Linked DNA regions of Drosophila melanogaster. The protein of the gene in region 1 interacts with the protein of each later gene in a biochemical or structural test. Each region holds a gene or a part of one and is shown in the gene's direction. Other genes may lie near its edges. The genes, in order: nmo, Mad, per and eya.

Region 1 (4,821 bases):
TTGAGGCGGACAAGGCAGCACGCAAGGCTAGGTAAGGATTAGCCCTATCCTTCCACTTCATAATTCATTATAATTCATGGTATGCAGAGAACAAAAGGAATTGGGCAACGCAGAGCCAGCTCCATCCGTGAGCTCCACCACAGTTTCGTCACCACCGGCCGGTGTGAAATCTCCGCCGCGAGACTACACCGAAACCCGCATCCAGGTGCGCCTGCAGGATGGCTCAACACTACAGGAAACCTTCAACGTCAAGGAGCAGCTGTCCGCCGTACGTGTGTTCATCCAGATGAAGACCGGCATCGAGTCGCCCTTCTCTCTGATGACCACCTTTCCGCGCAAGCTGTTCGCCGAGGACGACTACGAGAAGCCGCTGGAAGTGCTCGGCTTGGTTCCATCCGCTGTCATCACCATGACCAAGACGCCCGCATAAATCTTTCCTACAAACTGGATATATTTGAATCCGGGTAATCTCTCCCATAAACTAGAACCTAAATACGAAAAAAACGCGGCGCGAAATATACCCCCCCCCCCCCAAAAAAAAAAAAAAAAAACAAGAAAAACAATTAATGTACGGTTTTATATATATATTAAACACAACAATCTCAAATACAAGTAAAGTTTTAGAGGATCTTTGAGGGCAATTATTAAATTTCTATTGAAAAGCGATGCTAACTTTCCAATAAACTTTTTTCCTTAAATTACAATAGGATTCAATTTCTATGGCTAATGATTGGTCCTGTAGTTCCTACATGAAGGGCTTCACAAAGTTCTTGATCTTCTTAACGCTTCGCTCGGCGGGTCGAATGTTGAGGTGCTGCCCGAATATGGTGAACTCCATGTTGCCCACTTTCATACCAAAGACGCACTCGCTCTTGGGTATTGTGCGCAGCCGATGGTCCTTGCCGAGCAGTTTCAGCACGTTCTTGGTGTCCATGACGCAGATGCCAGCCAAATTTTCCAGGGTGGAGCACTTGGACTGCAGCACCTTCATCTTGGCACCGTGCAAGTCCAGTTTCACCAACTTGCGGCTGAACTCGTCGTAGCGAGCATCGTGCACCTGGGGCACCTCGTCACCTTCCCTCAGCTCCAGATGCTCGCGTACATAGCCCTTCCACAGGTGGTGCAGTGGCAGTGCCTCCTCGTACTTCATCTGCTTGGTGGGAAGAGTGTTCAAACCAAGTGCCGCATATTCCCGGCGACTCAGCGTACTGGATTTGTGGGCGCGACGTTTTCGGGAGTGCTGCTTCTTGATCTTGGTGCCCTCCAGCATTGTGATGTGATCCGGATTGATGTTAACATTGCAACGCTGGTGCGGAATCACCAGATCTGAGATAAATTCCCTCAATTCACTTGTCGCGTGTTCCATTGCGTTGTTATTTAGTTTTATTTATTTGGTGATCAACAATATATCGATAGGCGCGGAACTCTATCGATGGAAGAAAAGGCGATATATTAATATTATTTTTTCAGATGCATAGCTGCATGTGCACTTCGTATAATACAAGCTAAATAATAATTATTGCTATTAATTATTAGAAACTGTATGTACCTGCAATTTTTCATATTCAACGCTGCAATTTAAAAATAACGTACATTCGGGGCAATCTGGCGTTGCCATCCTGCTTTTGCATTTGAAATGTCATAAAATACAAAAAATACCAACGAAATAGAGATGGAAATAGATATAGTGCGGGCACTCTAAAAACATCGATAGCCAAACCTTGAATTAATATACGAGTGGAAAACATCGGACCTATCGATGTTTCTATCGGTGGCCGACCACCTCTAGCAACGCCGAACATATGTTTCAAGTCTCTCTCAACTTTCGAACGGAGCGGAACGTCGAGCGCACGAATTCGGAATTATCGTTGAAACAAACGTCGCCGCGTGTGATCGAAAATCCAAGTTAGGCTCATTCGTTGGGAAGCTGCGAGGTAATCAAACGCCAACCGACGACCAACATCCGCCCGCCCCCCTTTTAGCCACGCCCCGCGGCCCGTGTGATAACAAAGATAATGCAATAAAGGGCAACCGTAGAAAAAAAGCTGTGAGAGAGCCAAGAAACGTGACCCAGGCAAAATTTTGTTTGTTTGTCTGGCTCTGCATATACATGTACATAGTTTAAACGTGCGTGCGATTGTGTATGCGCGTGTGTGTGAGCAGCCGTCGCGTTAGTAGTAGTAACACGCCAAACAACAAAAAATTCATCTCGCGTTATTTACAATAATAATTAAACAAAATTACAAAATTGTTTCCGTCTCGCCCGCTAGTTCACTCTCTCTCACACACACACGCACGAATATTACCCCCGGCGCGTTTTACTTCCATCTCGCTCCCACAAAGGCGGAAGAGTTAAACACAAAAAAAAAAGAAAAATAGAAAAGAAATTATAAACGAAAAACTGCCACCGCCGCTGCTCAATAATTTGTGCATTTTTTAAGGTAATTTAAAGTGAAATGGAATGTCTTGTTTGCATAGGTTAGGTTTAATTAGTCCGGAAAGCTAAGCGAAACCCTGGGAAATATTACATATCCCCGGGCGAATTTCTTTTGTCCCGTTACTTTTCGATTTTCATGCGAGCGTTTTTTGATTGCGTTCATTTTCTGGCGACTTGGGGGTGCTCGCCATTGTTTGGTTTTCAACATTTGTAAATTTGCATGAAAAGTCGGATTTTAAGTGATTTTTGTGTCTTTTGAGCGGCTTTTTGCGCAGGCAGCGCAGTCCGAAAATCACTCAGAATCGCACTCACATGCGCACACACTTACAATTGTAATACACGGACGCGCCCCGGTCGCGACAGCTAACGGCACTTTTCATGTCCTCTCGCGCGCTCTCTCTCACTGTTCTCCTCTCTTCTTTCTTTTTGATTCCTGTGCAGCATCATTTGCCACCAAAAATTCGAAAAGCAAACAAAAGTAACGACAATTAAAGTACAGTGAATAATACCAAAACCGGATTAAATTAAATCTAGCTTTTACAGAATATACAAAATATTGAGCCTAGTGGTAACTAGTAACTAGTGGTCGAATAGGAAATCAATTCTCAATAGTTTTCTTGCGTACTGTGAAAATAAATCAAGATTGTAAATTCTGTTAGCAACGTTTAAATTATTCACAATTCAACTGTCTACAAATGATTATTTATCCACTTCACTCCGCAGTTTCATCACAATGTCCTCAAATCTAATTTAAATAAGTAAGAAGTGTAACAAGCGACACGCAGCGAAACAAATAGCGCTGAATAGAGGAGCACGCCAAGGCAAACAGCAACAAATGGCCAACAATTGAATGGCGGCCATCAGTTGGCCCCAGCGGCATCCATTGAGCAATCAACACCATTTCTCCCACATCAAATCAAGCACCACTTCCAGCAACACCATCACCTCAACCACCTCAGTCACCACCGCCGTCACAGCTTTGGGAATCAGAACCACAGTCCAAGACCCAGTCGAAACCACCACCACCACCAGTAAAAGCCACAGCCTAGCAGGACCACAACCACTGAGCTCCATCGCCAACAAATACCAGAACCGGGTGCAGCTGCTCGAATTATTTGGAAAACTTGCCGCGTAGTCCATCAATGAGCGTTTCGATGTCACTGGTACAGGGTGGTGCTGCCGGTGGTGCGCCACAGGGCGCCAGCGCAATCTTGGCCGCAGCGGCTCCCTACTATCAACCGCCGGCTGTTCCCCAGGATGTTCAGCCGGATCGTCCTATCGGCTATGGAGCATTCGGAGTTGTCTGGTAAGTATAATGATTCTATATCTCAGTGCAATAATCCAGATTATGGGCGAAGGGTGTTGCCATAGTATTGGTACAATCAAATTTTTTCTTGGTTTAGCAAGCATGGTTATTTTCGGGTTGTTTTGCTGGTTGTCCAAAGACATCCCGCCGAAATGGGCAATTATATTTGAGAATTATAAGACAATAGGTGGTATAGAATGCAGAAAAGGGTGTATTAACGTCATATCCTATTATATGCTTGTGCCCCTTAAAGAATTCATGTAATGATAATTTGTAAATGATTTCATTATAAACACATTCGGTTAAAAAGTTGTAAGACCGACTTCGAATCCAAATGTTAATACCCTCCTGTCAATGTACTTTTATAATTCAAATATCTAAAGATTAAACAGTTGTTCTTTGACTTGAAAAAGTCTTTGTTCTATTCGAAGAAAGGGTATCTGCAGCGTCGTTACTTTGCTGTGCGATTTTATGTCACGGTCTCGCCGTGGGTTCAGCAACCTTCTGCTTAGGCCTTTGATTCTGTAACCCTTTTGATTGTGTTGCTGCTGTTGATGTTGATGTTTTGTGCAGCGGGCAACGTCAACATCCTCGTACTCATTTCGATTCAGAACCTCAGTCCCGGGTCTCAGCTAGCTGTCCTTCATGGTTTTGTGCCTTTGTGCAGTTTTCAACGTTGCTGCGGCCCCCCGAGGGTGGATTTTTCCTATAATATATTTCTTACCCTAAGCGCGCTGGCTGGCTGACTGGCTGGCTCTCCGTGTTTTGGCCTCCCTCCCCCCCCCTCAATTTGGACTTTTCTATTTGCCCATCTCCTCGTTTATCGGCCTCTCTCTGCTTTTTTTTTTCTATCCCCTCGACTCTTTTGATTTACATTTGTGTGCAAAATTTTACATTAATGGTTGCTTAAATGGGGTGAGCATTGAATATTTGTTTGTTTACTGGGTAAAGTAAAATATCTAATATGGATTAGCAACATTTTGTTATCAATGTAACCGAAAAGCTGCAAATCTATCAAGCAAATGATTTTAACATAGCACAAAAAAAGGTGGCAATATGAAATCATCATATCTATTTA
Region 2 (7,626 bases), on another chromosome or scaffold:
AAGTAGTGTAGACCACCCACCACCGACTGGCAATTTTTTTCATTTTTGCGGAAAAGCGGTGGTGTCCCCGTGTTGACAGCTCAATTACTCACATGACACAAAGCCTCTGCGTGGCCCCCTGCAATTATCGCGGCAATTATTTGCAATTAGAATTGAGTTAATTTACTTAAAAAAGGATTTTCTGCCGTGCCTGCGCATTTTTGCCCCTTGACGTTTGCACTTCGGCACGTGTGTGTTTTGAGTTTTCCGCTTTTGTGCAATTTGCGTGCATAAATTTTTATTGTTCCAAAGGGACTACATAATTATTTTGTTATTTTTCGTCGTTTTCACTTCTGCTTTCGAGGAGAGTGCGCTTCATTACTATTTCGATTTTACTGCGACTGTATAATGCTACCCATGTTTGCAATAAGTTCGCGTTTAGTAGTGTTAAACACGCAATAAAAGCGAAGGGAGGGAGGAGCGATCGCACATAAACATGCTCGCATTCTAAGCACACGTACAGTCCGGGCCAAGAAAATAGGTTCGCTTGACTTCAATTCAAAAGATTTCGTAACGAAAAAACTTTAGTTTCGTTGCTTTACCCATTAAAAAAAATTGGCAGTGCATTTGCGAATAGAATTTCGATTTGTTTCCGCTTATTTTCGTACCGAAAACACTCTGCCGAAGGAGGGCTTCATCGAATTTTAGGTTCAATTACTCGCCGGTCCCACGCACGAAAAAATTCGTTGACGCTGCCTTCTCTTAAACTCCTCCCCTGAAACTACGTTCCCTTCATTTTTGTTGTGGTTGCGGTGGGGTGTTTACAGTTTGATTGTGGCTGTGGGTTGACGCCACCTCCAACACCACCAAAGGCCATGCACTGCAAACAAATTAGTGTGCATCTAAAAACAGCAATGTCTATTTAATTCGAAAAAGAGTTAAGTAAAAGAGTACTCAAATGTTAAATCTTAGTTCTTCAAGTAACATTGTTATTTGAAATACAAATGTTGCATATTTTTCTCGCCGTGTGATCTGCTGCACACAAACACGTTCGCGCTCACGTGCTGGCGCCCCCAACTGCAGATAGGGCATTTGATTTGTTTAAAACAAAACTTTCGTTGCCTGTATGGGTGTAGTGGTGTGCACTTGGCTGCCCCAAACGCACACTGAAACCAATTACGAGCACAGGAATACGAATACGAATACGTCACTCAGAGGTCTTCAGAAATCAGGGCTGCGGACTAGCTGGTGATAAAGAAGGGATTCAATAGGGATACATACACTAGATTTATACTCTCTTAGGGCTACAATAAGTACATTACTAAATAGATAAATATTAAGAAAATGGAATATAATAACTCAATTTTCCAGTCTTAAACTTATTAATAACTGTAGAAAGTAGTTTGTGTTACCTTTAGATACTTTAGGATGGACCTGCTGCTTCGCATCCCTGGCGAACTCACACCGATACACAATACGAATGCAGTTTGGGCTGCGTTCAGTTCGTCACTCACTCAGTCAGTCAGTTCGTCAGTCAGTCAGTCAGTCAGTCAGTCAATCAACACTCGGCGCACTCAGTTTGCTGGGCAACCCGTTCGGCATTCGTTGTCGATCGGTCGTGTCGTGCAGTTGACTTCTGATTCGCGCTCGCTGCCATTTCCACTTTGCGTAATTTACGGCGAAAATAAAAAATAATACGGCAAAAGGCTTAAATAAATGAAGTTATTACGGTGATAACGATTGAATTGAAGACTCGCAGCGGAAATGTAACTGCTGAGGCGACTGGATTGGATGCCCGATCGTCGTGGAGGGTCGCGTTTGCGATTTGCATACGAATAAAATAACATTTTGATGCTGAATTCTTGTCCGTGTGTGTGTGTGTGTTTGTGCGTGCAATAAAAATAAATAAAATAATATCTGCAATCTCAACATCATCATGTGTAGGTTCTTAGTTCGTACATAGTTCTCGTTTGCCTCGAGTTGCTCGATTTTTGAGTTTTCCTCCTCGCATCAAATCGAAACTTTGGCCTGTTTGGTTTTGGTCTTTATCGCGCTGCGTTTTTGTGTGTGCATTGTTTGTTTATTTTTAAACATGGGTCCAAGTCCCTATTTTCTCTGTCTGTTCGTTTTTTTCTTGTTGTTTTGTTGTTATTTTTGTGGCACTAGTCGTAGTACCCTTTACCACGCTTTTTGCCCGCTTTCAATGGCAGCGGAAGTGCTTCTGTACTTCTGTACTTGTGTACTTGCCATCCATCCACCTTGATTTCTACTTCTACCTGGCTCCCATGATTTACGCCTTATTGTCACTGCCGCATTTATGATTGATTATCGATTGGAATGGTATGATACGCATGCGCGAATGCGTGCCTGCCATAAAAGTGCCTCGATATCCTCGCTCCTCCGTTTCTCCAGTTGAGTTATGATCCCTGACTAGCGATGCACTGAAAAGAAACTCACAATGGAATCACTAACCAGAAGAATGTACACAGCCGATTTGAAATGCAATTCTTCAATTTAGTTACTCTAAATATAAGACTAAAAGTAGATTCACTTTAAACCAAGAACCATCAATTGAATTTGCTTTGAAAGCAATGAAGAACTTTCCTTCGAGTGTGGTTTTCTTGAAAGCAGAAAGAAGACTGGGCCACTTTGGGCGGGTACGTTGGGTACGTGATCTCAGCTCGGGTAATATGTAATTGCGAATTACGATTATTGATCTTTAATTGATATGGGGAATGTCCCATATGATAATGGATCATAAAGGACTTATTATATTTATATTTAGTATCGTTCAACTCGAGATGCATTGAGAGACAAAACAAGAAAATCGTTTAAGTGCCTAAAGAAAGCCACTTTGTTGTTTGGAAAACCATCAAATCTCCGAATAAACATCATAAATATGTTGAATATGTTGTTATGATCGTGTAAATAAAGTTTTTATGTAATTCCTGCGAATTAATGGGGTAGTTTCCCCTTTTGAAAACCGACTGATTATGTCGAAAACCTCACCTGCAATCGAGCTTTGCACAAACAAAACGGGGGCATTATCGAAATTTGTATGCCTGCCCCACTCAAATCAATCGAATTCCACTAGAGCACCATTGCCACCTAAAAACACACGACACTAGTCAGCTGGGTAAATACGTAGGGTAGAGTTCTCTATCTCCACTAACCCCCTCGATAAGTCTGTCCGCCAAGTGTCACTCCGTTTGTATCCTGAGTTACTGAGAAGGAGAGACCATGTGAACTGGTACTCCACTGTATGTTTAATTTTGGGATTAGTTATAAGCAAAGGTGTACCATTTTCGATAAGGTACCGATTGTTTGTTCGTAATCCTAATCTTTTGGAAGAGGTTTTTAAGCTAGTTTTGGTAATCAAAATGGTTGTGTGACTTATCATTAATTTCAATATATTCTTGTAGGCTAGTGATAAAGTTAGAGCATTCTTAGAGCAATATATCTACCGCCGGAGGCTCTGGTTGACTTTGGGCAATTAGAAAAGTGACTGCCCCCAACCACTGGTCCTCGTTGACCACGCCCCCTTCCATGGGCGACAACATAAAATTGTCAATGCTGCGAAAAAAAAAAGAAAACGGCAACGCCCCAAAATTTTTAGGCCCGAGTTGAGCGAGAAAATCGAAATTAATTCACGCAACGGCTAATTTGGCCAGAAATATGCGCCATTTGGTCTGTCGGGAGCCCAATCGAGAGGTGTTTTCTTGTTGTCCAAGTGCTGCACTTGTTGATTTATCGCCGGCATTTAATTGCTTTTGAAATTGGATTTACCAGCCCGTTTGCTTGCCACAAAAATGGGTGGTTCGCCTAGCAAGTTCGCCTTGTGTGGCTCGCCGATTTTTGCTCCAGCTTGCACAAATTAATTGCTACTACAAATTTTCATTCAATTAGGTTTTGTCACTTTTAAATTTAATCAAACATTTTTTGACACCTTGAGTAAAGCAACGAGATTGAGGCTAAGACAGCCAACTGGAGCGCAGCCACTTGGCCAACGGAGAGAAGTTCCTCAGAAATGCTGTTAACATTGAAATGTCATAATTCAAATGGAATTGTTGTCTTTGGTGGGGAAAAGTATGGAGGGGGGGGGGCGTAGAAAACAGGGGGGAATACCCACAATTGTGGCGCTGACAAGTCGAACACCATTTGGTTATCATTTGCGCTCATTATGAGATGCAGTTCTCGCCACTCGACTCGAATATTACTGCAGTACAGTGGAGCCTAACTAAATAGAATGAAGACAGTGGGTTTTTATTGCTATAGTTTAGTTTTTTCTGTTGATAAACCAATTTCTTAATGCCAATTTTCTAAGAATCGATAAGGCAGCCCGAAAACCAGCACATGAAACTATTATCTGTGCTTCATAAATTTACCTATTATTCATATATTTTTGCAGAATTGTTGTGTTCGAAAACTAATACTATTTATAACGTTGAAAAGTGCGAACTCTTTTCGTTCGCAACCTTTGTGGTTTTTTGGAATTCAAAGAACTGTCAGACCTCAAAAATACCCCCCTTACAATAGAATCGTTTCACAATTGACGTCAGCTGCGATTGAATACGAACAATAACCATATTTAATAGATAAAAATAAGTTTCCAACGAAATCGAGATTCGATTAATCAGCTAGTTGGTTAAGTGAAGCAATAATGGCCATTATTCTCAATGAGAAAATGTTGCAGGCAATTTGCATGCAATTGGCCGCCAACATTGAAAGTGGGAGGAGTCCGTTCATGACAGGAACCTCCCAACGACTTCATTCACTAGCCAGAAACACGATGCACTGCCAGGCCCCATGGATACTCACTCCTCCTCCAATTTCTGCTGGGCACTTGGCCAAGCGGGTAAAGACACTCGAAGAAAAAGGGTCACATAAGTTGCTGACTTCCCCTTTTGTTACGTATAAACATTTGCTTGAATTAGATGCAAAGTTTTCTATAACATTTCTCTCAGTGCATTCGAATTTTGCATGCGTTGTGTTGTGGGCGTTGCTGAGACAATCTAAGCTCGATGATGAATGCCTGCAATTCTATTTGTATTTATTATTTATATTTGCTTTTTACTTGCTCTTTTCACAGACTATCCGCCCGCTGATAGTTATACCGGTTATCGGGTGACTCCACCCCAAATCAACGGCGGCACCACCACCACCACCACCATCAGCAGCGGCAGCAGCAACAACAACAACATCCACCACATCAACAATAACAATAACCACATCTGCAGCAGTGGCAGCAGCAACAACCTCAATTTGACGACAGCAATCAGCGGCAGCAGCAACAGAATGGACACCGACGATGTGGAATCGAACACAAGCAGCGCGATGTCCACACTGGGCTCGCTATTCTCCTTCACATCGCCGGCGGTGAAGAAGCTGCTGGGCTGGAAACAGGGTGACGAAGAGGAGAAGTGGGCGGAGAAGGCCGTCGACAGTCTGGTGAAGAAGTTGAAGAAGCGCAAGGGCGCCATCGAGGAGCTGGAGCGTGCGCTCTCCTGTCCCGGTCAGCCCTCGAAGTGTGTCACCATTCCACGCTCGCTGGACGGACGATTACAGGTGGGTCACAAGCCACATGGCCAGCTAAGTAACAGATGATTATTAACTCCTATTTCCGAATATCAGGTCTCCCATCGCAAGGGTCTGCCGCATGTGATCTACTGCCGCGTGTGGCGCTGGCCAGATCTGCAGTCGCACCACGAACTGAAGCCACTCGAGCTGTGCCAGTATCCGTTCAGCGCCAAGCAGAAGGAGGTGTGCATCAATCCGTATCACTATAAGCGCGTGGAGAGTCCGGTGCTCCCGCCAGTACTCGTTCCTCGCCACTCGGAATTCGCGCCCGGTCACTCGATGCTGCAGTTCAACCATGTGGCCGAGCCCAGTATGCCGCACAATGTGAGCTACTCGAACAGTGGATTCAACTCGCACAGCTTGAGCACCAGCAACACATCGGTGGGCAGTCCGAGTTCCGTCAACTCCAATCCCAATTCGCCGTACGACAGCTTGGCGGGAACACCGCCACCCGCCTACAGTCCCTCGGAGGATGGCAACTCCAACAATCCGAACGACGGTGGCCAGCTGCTGGATGCTCAGATGGGCGATGTTGCCCAGGTTAGCTATTCGGAGCCCGCCTTCTGGGCGTCGATAGCCTACTACGAGCTAAATTGCCGCGTGGGCGAGGTGTTCCACTGCAACAACAACTCCGTGATCGTTGACGGTTTCACGAATCCTTCCAACAACTCGGACCGCTGCTGTCTCGGCCAGCTGAGCAACGTGAACAGGAATAGCACCATCGAGAACACACGCCGTCATATAGGTGAGTCGATTTTAGCACTTAAATTAACTTACTCACAGAGATTTCCCATCAGCAACTATCTTAAAGTGGTTAATAACTAAGATTACACATTGGTAATCTTAAATTAGAAAGCGACTTGTGTTTATCAGTTATAAAAATAGGCATTGAGTAGAGTAGAAAGCTATGGACTTCAAGAATCCAACTACCTGTCTTTTTAACTCAAAATGTTTCTTCTTCCCCAGGCAAGGGTGTTCATTTATACTATGTGACCGGCGAGGTCTACGCCGAATGCCTATCCGACTCCGCCATTTTCGTGCAGTCGCGCAACTGCAACTACCACCACGGATTCCATCCGAGCACCGTGTGCAAAATACCGCCGGGCTGCTCGCTGAAGATCTTCAACAATCAGGAATTTGCTCAGCTGCTGTCGCAGTCGGTGAACAATGGATTCGAGGCCGTCTACGAGCTGACAAAGATGTGCACGATCCGGATGTCGTTCGTGAAGGGCTGGGGTGCGGAGTATCATCGCCAGGATGTGACCTCGACGCCCTGTTGGATTGAAATCCATCTGCACGGGCCGCTCCAGTGGCTGGACAAGGTGCTCACCCAAATGGGCTCTCCGCATAATGCAATTAGTTCGGTATCCTAAGCTTAAGATGAGGCTCGAGTCCTCAATGGAGACGGAAGAGAAGGAACACAAAACCGGTAGCTAAATGATGAGTGCGTGTGAGTGAAAGCTAAGTGTGAAAAGACGTAGAGAACACAGGACAATGGAGAGAGCATAGGTCTGTAGGCCTGAGGATGGAGGTCCATGCCACTCAGTCGCAGATTTATATAGATGATGTACGGCAGCTACTCCAATACCCGCCCTTTGCCCATATTTTATAGTTTATCGTATGATTTTCTATGCGAATGTCATTCCTAACGCTAAAACAGAGTAATGAAAATGGACAGCGAGCTAAGAAACCAATTACAAAATGGTATAACTATTTACAATGATCTACATGCTATAATATTAATGATCTATGCCCATTGGCAAAACAGTTCTTGTTCAAGTCTATTTCAAGTGCTAATTATGTGTCATTGCAAAACTGCTTTAAATATAAAAACACATTGAATTAATCCTACCAACTTTAATTACATAAGGAACAAGTAACTTACGTAGGGATATGAAAACACTTATTGCAATACATTTCTTAAAATGATTTTGAAGAAGCCCTAGCTTATGTTTTATTTTTCTCATTTGCGGTTCGCCTTGGATCAACGAATTCAATGTTCAATATAGTTGATTTAAATATATATATGGTTTAACTAATTTTAAGTTGCAAACAAATCGAAAACATCAA
Region 3 (7,694 bases), on another chromosome or scaffold:
AATCACCACCCGGAATCCGATTAGCGGCAATCAAATGAAATCACAGCACATCAAAACGCGACGGGGAGTGGCGAAGTGCGGCAAGTCAACAGTCGCAGCATCAAAATCAAATTAGCAGCAGTTTGGTGGCTAATTCGAACGCACTTTATCATTTTCGGGCAGGCGTCTGTGACTTTGTGGCACGTGTGTGGCCGCGATAGATAAGAGCGAGCCCCAGCAAATGCCAGCAAACTCCGGCTAGCTTGGGCAAACACCACACACGTGGCCACAAAGGAGCTGCGTGTGGAGTGGGTGCCGGGTCAAATGGATTTTCACACCCACTCGACGTCGGCAAAGCCGCCAATTAATAGAATTCAATTATTCAAAGCCACCGCAGGCCGATGGGACGGCTGATAAGGCATAAAGACATCCTTGGGCACTTCGATCGGATTAGGATAATAAAAAATGCTCCGAAAAAAAAAGAAGTTGTGGGGTCCATAAAAATATGCTTTTATGAGGGGGTAGCTAAAATCATTTCCTATTTATCAGATGCCTCAACTTTTAACCCTTCAATTGCGAAGACTAAAAGCCAAATTCAATGCACAGAAATTGCAAGTAATAATCATTTGTAACTGCATAGCAGTAGTATCAGCATCGAACCGAACCACTCGACCGCTCGGAGTTCATCAACCCCTCGTGGAAAGACGGGGAATCCCCTGCTGGCAGGTATGTGTAACGCCACCTGTGGGCCACAGCGCGCAACAGCCAGCTGGGCGGAGGCGGAAAAGCCAGGGAAAATCAGCTGTCGCTATCATCCCACTCCGTACGTGTTTCAGCGCACGCCGCGCACACCTGCCCAGGTAGAGCTTCCACGGGACAAACGGGAAACAGAAGCCCCCAAAAGCTTGGCGCCACTTTCAACTTTTCATCCGTGCTAGAGAGCCGAGCTGCTAGACCGATGCACTGCGTTGACTGCGGACTGGCGCTCTGGTGCACTGCTGGCCGCACTTGGACGATGACCAGGTGGGTGGGTGAGTAATGCCGTTGCGAAATGCCAGTGCCAGTGCGAGTTCGCACAATTCATGGTGGGGCAGGGACGGGTCCGAGTGCAAAAAGCGTCCGAGAAAGCCGTAGGCAGTGAAAAGCCGCCGCTCACGTGGCGAACTGCGTGACTTGGCCAGCAAATCCGCCGCCCAGCCGGCTCCCCGGAAAACACCCCTCGGAAAACGTGCTGCCAGCCGCCCACCAGGCAGCCCCAAAAAGGCAGGGGATTCCATAGCTTTCCTTAACCTGCAGTTGGTGCGTGGGGCTTGGATTGACACTTGGCATCGGCAGTGCCATGTAACGTATCCCACAGCATAGATAAAAACCAAAAGAAACTAGTATTCAATAGAAGCTATGAAAAAGAAAGATATCCAACATTATAGCAATCTATAAATGGGGTTTCTTGCTATGGAAAAGGGAGTCTTTGGCATTCCAATTACTTGCTTTTGTTGTTCGCGCAAAAGCTTCGCCCAAGGGTTAATGTTTGGGTCCGAGTATCTCAGCCGACCAGCGATTTCCCGAGCGACTGCGATTCCCAGCGATTCTCAGCGACGGCGGAGAGCAGCGAGTGAGTGTGAGAAAATTCTGGGAATGCGAGTGCACGGGGGCTTATACACCGGAGCTTGCGATGCGAGCACTAGTGTTCGTGCGAATTTAGAGCCAGAAGGTCGACAACGCGTTCGTCGCACAGTAGAAAGTATTGCCATATACCAAATAAATCGCAACAACGACCTGTCGAATCACGCAAACAAACAGCTTCGTTTTTTTTTTTTTAATTTCGACCAGAAACAAACCGTTATTCTTTGGTGCCAGTGTTAGTGTCAAGTGTATCGAGCTGAGTGACATATAGCCACAGCCAAAAAGTGAGACCATAAGTGAGATTCCAAACAGAAGGCAGCAGCAGCCTAATCGCAGCCTAATCGCAAAAAAGTGCAGCTGGGTGAGAGCGAGAGCGAGTGTGTAAGTGCAATTGTCACGTTGTTGCAATAAAGCTGCAAAGAAAAATCTCAGCAAGAGGCGCTAGATAGACCATTATCATATTGCCAATACAAAACAACGCATTGGGCAGGCAGCTTACATAAATAACTCGGTTCATAACGTCCAATGGCGCACTTACACATATGTACATATAGTGTTTATTAATAAGTGCACGTTGCACACCGAGCAAAGCGTAAACAAAAGCCCACATCAAAATACCTGACCCTACCGAACAATGCTCCGGGAATGCCCCACCACTTCCTTCCTTGCAGTGCCAAACAAACATACTCTGGCCGCAGAATACGCATACGCAACGTGGTGCACCACTGCAGCCGCTTGCCTTCCGGTCACCTGGAGTGCAGTACTGCAGCACACTGCGCCTACGTGAAGTGAACTCATTCATATATGTAGCTACATAGCTCTAATCGATGCCCGGCATCCAATCTGGGTCAGAGCATATTGCGCATACGCAGCGTGTTCCCTTTTGGGCATTGCACCTTGGTATTTTCAGCTTATTTGCTGCACACACGCCACGTGGGCGCAGTAATTTCTGGCAAATTTGGAATGTCTATTAAAACCCCTACGATTTGGATAGCCGCAGTCGCAGTCGCGTTACACAAGCTAAACAGAGTACCACCATTAATAGCTCAACGTTCCCATTCGTGCCCCGAATTTTCCCACAGTCTTTCCCAGTATGTCTTGCCCCCGGGTTATGCGACTGTTATCCATGTCTGTCGCGCTTCCTGTGCTGCATTATCTAACATCCTCGGAATGACGCACGACCAATGTAATCCAGCAATCCAGAGGCATCGCGGCGGATTCGATTCGACCAGTTGGCCTTCTTGCTTTGCTGCGTCAAAGTTCACCCACATATGGGATGCGAACTGGGTTAACCAGCGAGTTACACAATCCTTGGTGGGTATAAACTGAAGGATTTGGGCAGATTGAGCAGTCGGTTGGAAGCCAGTTTGTTGGGCAAAAAAATGGTATTATCCAATGGAATTTTTCACCTTCTTTGGAATTCTTTCTTCTTGAATTCTGGGCCGTCGAAACAACTATCAGCTTGTTTACTTGGCCCATTTGGTTATCTTTGCTTTTAATGGAAACTCTGAAGAGCCTGGAATGGGGTCCACCCTAATGCCTGTGTGTCTGTGTAGTATTTTTGGGTTTAGTTGATTCAGCCAAATCGGAGAGAATGAACCTGGGTCTTATGCAATCGCTGAAACCGAACTCCTTGCCGAATTGAATGCTTGCTATATGCACCGATTACGACATAGTGGTGCATTGTGAGAAATATGAGTTCTTCGCTGCGTTCTTTTTTTGTAATTGCAAAATTGCTGAAAAGAATGTGTCTTCTACTGAGGTACAGGGTACATGGTTCTGAACTACACACTACACGTATCTAAGTATCTAAGTACGTATCTGCGAATCTGGAGCCGGGATGCATTGCGACTGCATAACGACATCCGTTGGCGGAGCGGCAGAGGCAACGCGAGAGCAAAAGCACATCGCACTGCACGTGAATGCAGCGTCGCGCCGTCTCGCTCTCGCTCCCGCTGCGCTGTTAATTAGCACAGTGAAGCCTCGTTGCAGGCAACCACCGTGTGGGCGACATTGTTCTCTATCTATCGTTCTGAGTCTGGGCCGGGCAGAGAGTATACGATTCAATCAATGGCCACCATGCAGGTGCAAGTCAAGGTGACAATTTCACAACAATGCTCCAGCCAATTAGGACTAGAAGTTATCCAAGCCATGATTCATGAACATGAATGGCAGGCAGTCGGAACACGTGCAACGCCTGGTTTCCCCCCCATCATCCATTCGCTTGGCCTAGAAGATCCTAGAAAGCGTTGGTGGTTAGCTGGGCGGCACAATACTATTGGCGAGCAACGTGAAGACGGTAACGAAGCAACATTCGGAATTTGAATTGGATTCTAGAGAATCGGGGGGGTTTGCGCGTCGCAGCCCGGTGCCGCAACAGATTTCGTGATTCATTTCATCACCCGGCCGAAGTGAAACTACTCACAACGCAATCGACTCACGTTGATGCAACAGCGCTGCTCTGAATGAATCCGGTGCAAATAGAATCCGCATTGTAGTGGTTGGTCATTCATTCAACGGATACTCAGTAGTCACGGAATCTCCTCGAAGGAAGGACAAACATAGATACATAGGTTCATCATAGAAGTGAAATCAGTTAGTTAGTTATTTAGTTACCCCCATTCAAGGTCCTATCAAGGATAACTGAAGTGCTAATGGTCATCATACGATTTTCCAGAATCTCGCACTAGTCAACCAACTGGGCAAGCTGGAGAACCTAAGCACCATGGAGGGCGGCGAGTCCACGGAGTCCACACACAACACCAAGGTGTCCGACTCGGCCTACTCGAACAGCTGCAGCAACAGCCAGTCGCAGCGCAGGTGAGTCCATTTGATGTGCTCAATCATGCGAGTAGTCTAAACGATCCATCCCCTTTCCAGTGGCAGCTCCAAATCCCGCCTGAGCGGCAGCCACTCCTCCGGCAGCAGTGGCTATGGGGGCAAGCCCTCGACGCAGGCCAGCAGCAGCGACATGATCATCAAGCGCAACAAGGATAAGTCGCGCAAGAAGAAGAAGAACAAGGGCGCCGGCCAGGGGGCGGGGCAGGCGCAGACCCTGATCTCGGCGTCGACGAGCCTAGAGGGCAGGGACGAGGAGAAGCCGCGGCCCAGCGGCACTGGGTGCGTAGAACAGCAGATCTGCCGAGAGCTGCAGGATCAACAGCACGGCGAGGATCACAGCGAGCCGCAGGCCATAGAGCAGCTGCAGCAGGAGGAGGAGGAGGATCAGTCCGGCTCCGAGTCGGAGGCGGACCGAGTCGAGGGCGTGGCCAAGTCGGAGGCGGCACAGAGCTTTCCGATTCCCTCGCCGCTATCCGTCACCATTGTCCCGCCCTCGATGGGCGGCTGCGGCGGAGTGGGCCACGCAGCCGGTCTGGACAGCGGGCTGGCCAAGTTCGACAAGACCTGGGAGGCAGGTCCGGGCAAGCTGGAGTCCATGACCGGGGTGGGCGCAGCGGCGGCGGGCACAGGGCAGCGCGGGGAGCGGGTGAAGGAGGACAGCTTCTGCTGCGTCATCTCCATGCACGACGGCATCGTCCTGTACACGACGCCCAGCATCACCGATGTCCTGGGCTACCCGCGCGACATGTGGCTGGGCAGGTCCTTCATCGATTTTGTGCACCTTAAGGACCGCGCCACCTTCGCCAGTCAGATCACCACGGGCATACCCATTGCGGAATCCAGGGGCAGCGTGCCCAAGGACGCCAAGAGCACCTTCTGCGTGATGCTGCGTCGCTACCGGGGACTCAAGTCCGGCGGATTCGGCGTCATCGGCAGGCCCGTCAGCTACGAACCCTTCCGCCTGGGGCTCACCTTCAGGGAGGCTCCGGAGGAGGCGCGACCGGACAACTACATGGTCTCCAATGGCACCAACATGCTGCTCGTCATCTGCGCCACTCCGATCAAGAGCAGCTACAAGGGTGAGTATCTGTGCCCGTTTTGGTTTCATCCAGCCATCTAACCATCGATCTCTGCCCCCCCCAGTTCCCGACGAGATTCTCTCACAGAAGAGCCCCAAGTTCGCCATACGCCACACGGCCACCGGGATCATATCGCACGTGGACAGCGCGGCGGTCAGTGCACTGGGCTATCTGCCGCAGGACCTGATTGGCCGCAGCATCATGGACTTCTACCACCACGAGGACCTCTCAGTCATGAAGGAGACCTACGAGACGGTAATGAAGAAGGGTCAGACGGCGGGCGCCTCCTTCTGCAGCAAGCCATACCGCTTCCTCATCCAGAACGGTTGCTACGTCCTTCTGGAGACCGAATGGACCAGCTTCGTCAATCCATGGTCCCGCAAGCTGGAATTTGTCGTCGGACACCATCGCGTCTTTCAGGGTGAGTTCGCGTGCCGACCCAGTGATCCAATGATCCTCTAAACAGGTCATTTCACCTTCCAGGACCCAAGCAGTGCAACGTCTTCGAGGCGGCGCCCACATGTAAGCTGAAGATATCGGAGGAGGCACAGAGCCGGAACACGCGAATCAAGGAGGATATCGTGAAGCGCCTGGCGGAGACGGTGTCCCGTCCGTCGGACACGGTCAAGCAGGAGGTTTCCCGCCGCTGCCAGGCGCTGGCCAGCTTCATGGAAACGCTCATGGACGAGGTGTCCCGGGCGGATCTCAAGCTGGAGCTGCCGCACGAGAACGAGTTGACCGTCTCGGAGCGGGACAGCGTGATGCTCGGCGAGATTTCGCCGCACCACGACTACTATGACAGTAAGAGTTCCACCGAGACGCCGCCCAGCTACAACCAGCTAAACTATAACGAGAACCTGCTGCGTTTTTTCAACAGCAAGCCGGTCACGGCGCCGGCGGAGCTCGATCCGCCCAAAACGGAGCCGCCGGAGCCGCGCGGCACGTGTGTCAGTGGCGCCAGTGGTCCGATGAGTCCCGTCCACGAGGGCAGCGGGGGCAGTGGCTCCTCGGGCAACTTCACCACCGCCAGTAACATACACATGAGCAGTGTGACAAATACGAGCATTGCCGGCACTGGTGGCACGGGCACTGGTACAGGTACAGGTACTGGAACTGGAACTGGAACCGGGACAGGAACTGGAACCGGGACAGGAACTGGAACGGGAACAGGTACAGGCACAGGCACAGGCACTGGAACAGGCAATGGAACAAATTCCGGCACCGGAACCGGCACCGCCAGCTCATCCAAAGGCGGAAGCGCCGCCATACCGCCAGTCACGCTGACCGAATCCCTGCTCAATAAGCACAACGACGAGATGGAGAAGTTCATGCTGAAGAAGCACCGCGAGTCGCGCGGACGGACGGGTGAGAAGAGCAAGAAGTCCGCCAATGACACCCTTAAGATGCTGGAGTACAGCGGTCCAGGCCACGGGATAAAAAGAGGAGGCTCCCATTCCTGGGAGGGAGAGGCCAACAAGCCCAAGCAGCAGCTAACCCTGGGAACAGATGCGATCAAGGGAGCGGCAGGAAGTGCGGGCGGAGCAGTCGGCACTGGCGGTGTGGGATCAGGAGGAGCCGGTGTGGCGGGCGGAGGAGGATCCGGAACAGGCGTAGCAGGCACACCAGAAGGCAGAGCCACAACGACCTCGGGAACGGGGACACCAGGTGGAGCCGGAGGCGGAGGCGGAGCAGGAGCGGCAGCAGCGGCTGGAGCGTCCTCCTCCGTGGGCAGTTCCACGCCAGGACCCTCGTCCTATCCCACCTGCACGCAAAACATAAACCTCTGGCCACCGTTCTCGGTGGGCATCACACCGCCCGTTCACTCCACGCACACGGCCATGGCCCAGAGCAGCTTCTCCTCCGCCGGCCTCTTCCCGACCTTCTACTACATCCCCGCCTCCTTGACGCCCACCAGTCCCACGCGCTCTCCCCGGATGCACAAGCATCCGCACAAGGGTGGCACGGACATGCCCACCACCTCGCAGCAGGCGGCTGCCGCGGCCGCCCAGGCCATGCCGCTGCAGTACATGGCCGGCGTGATGTACCCGCATCCTTCGCTTTTCTACACACACCCGGCGGCGGCCGCGGCCACGGCCATGATGTACCAGCCGATGCCCTTTCCGGGAATGGCCAACGCTCTCCAGATTCCCGAACGTCCGTTGGGCTCCCAAT
Region 4 (4,772 bases), on another chromosome or scaffold:
TGCAGCGAATTGTGCGCAGATTTGTTTACAGAAGACTCTCCGAGTGGCAAACTGAGGGAAGACGGATTATCGTGGAGGGAGGAGCACCATGATCATCGTAGATATAATTGACGACATGTTGTCTCACGATCGTGCTAAAGCGATTAAAGCTAATTTAATGCCCGACTCGGAGATTCACTGCACCCAAAATGTATCCACCAAGAAGTGCACTCCCTCACTTTGAGGTCATGCTCGATTTTCTCTGTGGAAAGCCTTAACAAAATGCCATAATCAAATTTCTAGCTTCACTTTTGTTATTTCTTGTGGCTGAATTTGTTGTGGGATCGAATGGGCTCATTGTCGGAATTCCATTGCAATTCTATTGCATGTGTGCATGTCGCCTATTTACTTAAATGCACTTGTTTCACTTGCTCACTTGTAATTACATCCAGGCTTTTAAGTCAGTCTCTGTTGGGCCAAAAATCAAGTGTTGAATCAACATGAATTGTTTAGCACACGATTCAATTGTTTCGTCTCGACGGAGACGTATAAATAAATAAATACGAGACGGCCATGAAATATATATTTATTAGAATAAAAAATGTTAACCGCTATCGGTTTATGACAACTGTTTGTTTAATTGTAAAATATATATTCAGGAGAGGTTTAAAAGATATTTTACAAGTTGCCTACCTTAAAGCTTAACTCTTTTACTAGAATTTCATTTGGATGAAGTTTCAACACACTTTAAAATTTATGTGCTCAGTAATTTGCCAGAGCTGCCCCAATCAACATCAATTGGCTGCCATACTGTCTGAGCATTCTAATTCATTTAATCGAGCTCATTAGTGGCTCTAAACCATCATGTTTATGCTACCCAATTACCATCGGAAGTGATTCACTTCTGCATGGACGGAGAGATAGCCCTGTGATTTTGATTAGATGCCAATTTGTTTATGGCACTCACTAATCCGTCCACAGATCGGATATCCCATATACCATATACCATTTGCCATATTCCATATACCATGTCCCGTATCGGTTTGATTATGCCCAGCACACTTCGGCTCGTCTTACATGAGCATTTCGATTTTTGGGAGCTCCTTCTCTAATGCGTTACGGATCCATCGAACCCAATAAGTTTTAGGCGTTTTAAATTACCCGATATTCGCGTTGCGCGTTTTACGATTGCCATTAAATTTGCTGGCGGTTACCATTGAACAGGCCGAGAAACTCCAACTGATTAGCTTATTAATTTGTTTTATGTGCTCGAATGGTGGCGGAGTTGTTTCGAATTAATTTATTAATTTATGCGCATAGGAAAACCAACTTTTCAGTTGGCGTTCGCCCAGCGGCAAAATCTCATTCACAATGGGCATTGTTCGCCCGCATCCGAGAGATACTTACCAAAAAAAAAAACTAACATAATACAGAGAAAGAAACAACAAACTTTGAGGAAAAGTGGTTTTCGACCCACCCCTGTGCGATATTCTTGGCCCTTCGATTTGGGGAATGGGAATGGGCGGAGTCTAGGCGCATTCTCTGGCCGGCGGAGGGAGCGAGAGAGGCTGCTCCGAGTGCGCACCGCTCACACGAACTCGTTTCGAGTGCCGAGATACATTTAGCCGGTACGAATACGAATCCAAATAATCCGAGCCAGGGATTTCCACTCAAGCAGCGCCGCTGCCGCTTCGCTGCCGGCGTCGCATTGAGCCACAAAAGTCGGCTGTTTCGGTGGTTCAGTCGATTCGAGCCACTCAAAGCGAGCGCTACGGGAACGGTCGATCCGCCCGAAGTCGCAGATAAAAAACCTACCAGATACATTTCGTTCGTTCTGAAACGCTATAACTAAATATATATTCGATTTCAAAACATCGACCATACATTAACTACCTGAAACGGTCGAGTTCACTACCCCGCCACGCGTGTGTGTTTTTGTGTGTGTTGCAAGTGAAAGTAATCGCAAGTCCACAGAATGGTCACCCTAATGCCATACAACTACGCTGCCCCGCGATGCGGATTAATTGACAAAATGATCGAGCCAAAGGTAATCACATAGTCGTAGTGCTCTCCTCGCGAAGCTTTAAAAGTGATGTGGTTGAGATGGCTGTGCCGTCGGTTATTACTATTACTAGTATTGCTAGTGTTATGACTATGATGACGGCGGTAGCTTCCTTGGTGGTTGCGCCTTGTGGGGCTTCACCTAGTCGGGGAGTAGTATCCAAAAAGTGAAACTCCATGGCGAGATAACGCTTCGACTCTCATTTATCAAGCCTGGATGGAGTCTAATATATGTACGAACAACAGTTTAGGATGCTTTAAGCTGATCTATTGGTCGGTGTGATATCATAGCACACTTCATATATAAATCTAGTCCAGCTTGACAACTAAGTCGTGTTCAGATGCTATTCGATTTCATAAATCTAAGCGAATAAGTCGTGCAAATACACTCGAAGAAATACAATTTCATTGGGTTGCTTGAAAATGTATGGAATGTTACTCATTCACAGAGGATTATCAATTTTATAGACCCATCCTGCGAAGAAAAGCGCTTTAATGACTGCTCATTGTTGGGAAATCGTTAATGGGGATAAAGATTATGGGCACCTGACCAAAATTTTATTACAACGCATTAATCGGCTTAACTTTTGGCTGTGGGGTAATGAAGCAAACAAGTTGAGTCCCAAAAGGTCATTAAAAACGCTTAATAAAGTGCCGAAATAGTGACAAACGTTTTTCCAATTCGCTGCTGATGCATTTCTCCCATCAAATTACCAAAGCCTTTTCATTCACTGCACGCTTGCGATGCAAAGTCTGGCCGAGATTAGCGTAAAGTTCGTTTCCCGACGATTTAATGGAACGGCATTCTCCAGGCTTTTATGGGTCCCTAAACTACGGCTAAGACAAAGTCGGATCGAAGGAAACGTGACGAACGTGGAGTGGCCGGATGGCCGGATGGTTAAGGCGAAATATTAATAGAGCATAAATTACAGCTCTAGTGGGTCTCTGGGTGCCGGCTTTATGGGAATTTAAAGAGCCTGGCCCACAAAAGCCAGAGCTGGGCTACGGCATTCGTCCAGCGGCATTAATCACATTTTAATTAAGTTTAAGCCGTAATCGTAAAAATTAACACGCCATAATTCAACTGCGACAATACGCGCTGCATGTAATTTATGACAAAGAGAATTCACATCGGTGTGCGTGTGTGCGAGTGTGTGGGGGGGGGGGGGGCGGTGGAGGAGTCGAAATATTGATTATGGCCACTGCGATTGACACTTGGCGATTGTTGATTATACTACCACGATCGTGGCCCAAAACGTAATTAACGTGCCAAAGTGTTAAGGTGCATGGGATAGGTCCCATGCCATAGCAGCCCCTTCCTTCGATTCCACTTCGTCCACCAGAAGATACAAATTTTCCTCTTGTTTATTTTGATTTTTATCGCGGGGACTCGAGGGGGACTCAAGGGGGCTCAAGGGGTTTGTAGGGGTCTTCGGGGTCTTAGGGCCGGGTTAATAAAAAATTTGTCGCCGTCTTCTTGTCTTGTCTTTTGTTTGCCTGCCTTTTTGTGACCGAGTGTGTGTGTTTTAATCTTCTTCTAAAGCAGCAGAAGAGACAAAGAGATTACGATCACAGGAATTTCGTTAAAGATGCCCACAAACAGGTCTTTATACCACATATCTCCCACTCTTTTCCGCAGCTGGAACCAACCAAGCCGGCCCAACCAAAACCCCCCCAGATACTGATTCGAGTGTTGTCTGTGTTAATGTTTACGTTGTCAGCTTGTGCCATAAATTAGTTTAGTAAAAGGTTGCATTTGACTCTTCCCTTTCCCCCCCCCCTTTTTTTTGTTGGCCCCTCACCAGCTCACTTTTGCATACAACTTCGGACTCGAATTCGGTTGCTCGTGCAGCACGCAATCCTGCAGAATTCGCGACCCGAGATCGCAACTCCAATGCGCAGCTCATCGAAACGCTACCGTTCGGCAATCTGTCCGCTTGTCCGCCGCTGCGCATGCGCGTGTTCCCTTGGTCCGTCGACAAATCTGAGCAAACTGCGTCCTGCTGCCCCCCACCAGATCACCGGATGATGGACAGTGCGTGCGTGTGGTCATCTCGCCGGACGGCAGAAGCTGTCAACCGAAGCCGCTCAGCTTTCGCTCCCTTCCCGCCCTTCTTTTTTTGTTTTTTTTTTTTTTTGTTTTGAGGGACTTCTTTAGGGGTGGAGAGGCGCACAAATTCCAGCACCTGGGCTTGCCGCGCCCCTTAGTCCGCCTTCGATTTATCTGGCTTCCGTTCGATTTGCATACATGTCTTCTTAAGGGGCGTTTTTTTTTGACCATTTGTCAAAATCATTCTGGCAAAAGCTGAATTGTCAAAGCTTTATAAATATAAAACATAGTAAGTGGATGTAAAGGACGTTCTATTGTATGCCTAGAGACACAATCTTTCCTCGAAAGTCTGTATAGTTAAATGTCATCTTTGTTCCATCTAGCCATTTTGCATCCTTATCGAAATCCGCTGCCACCTGCTGCTTTTCCGAGCACTACCACCTCCCCCCCCCCCTTTCCGACTTCCCCTCCAAATGGCGCCGCACATCCGAGTAACAGTTGAGTTAAACTTTTTCCCACGCACAAGCTCGGGCAGCGAAAATCGCTTGGCGCAGCAGCAAATGGCGATTGCGAATTATGTAAAATTTGCTGTTTTCTTTCGCCACTCGCACTGGATAACCCAAATAGAGTTTCAGGCGGTGGAAGTGCCGAGCTCAGCAGGGCGATTCCACGCCAGACGCTG

Evidence for each region.
Region 2: of the proteins of nmo (region 1) and Mad, one has a biochemical effect on the other in vitro, tested with the Drosophila melanogaster proteins (one study listed by BioGRID).
Region 3: of the proteins of nmo (region 1) and per, one has a biochemical effect on the other in vitro, tested with the Drosophila melanogaster proteins (one study listed by BioGRID).
Region 4: of the proteins of nmo (region 1) and eya, one has a biochemical effect on the other in vitro, tested with the Drosophila melanogaster proteins (one study listed by BioGRID).

The regions. Positions count from the first base shown.
Region 1 is NT_037436.4:7,977,240-7,982,060, forward strand, and holds the start of nmo (nemo), read left to right. Parts: upstream 1-1,806; 5' UTR 1,807-1,934; exon of another isoform or gene 1,935-2,270; 5' UTR 2,271-2,441; intron 2,442-3,160; 5' UTR 3,161-3,579; coding exon 3,580-3,743; intron 3,744-4,821. Other genes in the region: CG8209 (uncharacterized protein), read left to right, coding at 1-31, 88-430; POP4 ribonuclease P/MRP subunit, read right to left, coding at 746-1,366.
Region 2 is NT_033779.5:3,146,722-3,154,347, reverse strand, and holds the start of Mad (mothers against dpp), read left to right. Parts: upstream 1-1,594; 5' UTR 1,595-1,915; coding exon 1,916-1,919; intron 1,920-5,068; coding exon 5,069-5,544; intron 5,545-5,610; coding exon 5,611-6,301; intron 6,302-6,522; coding exon 6,523-6,929; 3' UTR 6,930-7,626.
Region 3 is NC_004354.4:2,683,918-2,691,611, forward strand, and holds the start of per (period), read left to right. Parts: upstream 1-1,662; 5' UTR 1,663-1,983; intron 1,984-4,279; 5' UTR 4,280-4,327; coding exon 4,328-4,422; intron 4,423-4,482; coding exon 4,483-5,522; intron 5,523-5,586; coding exon 5,587-5,943; intron 5,944-6,005; coding exon 6,006-7,694. UniProt on the Drosophila melanogaster protein: Essential for biological clock functions. Determines the period length of circadian and ultradian rhythms; an increase in PER dosage leads to shortened circadian rhythms and a decrease leads to lengthened circadian rhythms.
Region 4 is NT_033779.5:6,533,083-6,537,854, reverse strand, and holds the start of eya (eyes absent), read left to right. Parts: upstream 1-1,743; 5' UTR 1,744-1,954; coding exon 1,955-2,026; intron 2,027-4,772. UniProt on the Drosophila melanogaster protein: Tyrosine phosphatase thought to play a role in transcription regulation during organogenesis through its intrinsic protein phosphatase activity. The phosphatase activity was shown in vitro. Appears to function together with So and Dac in eye development.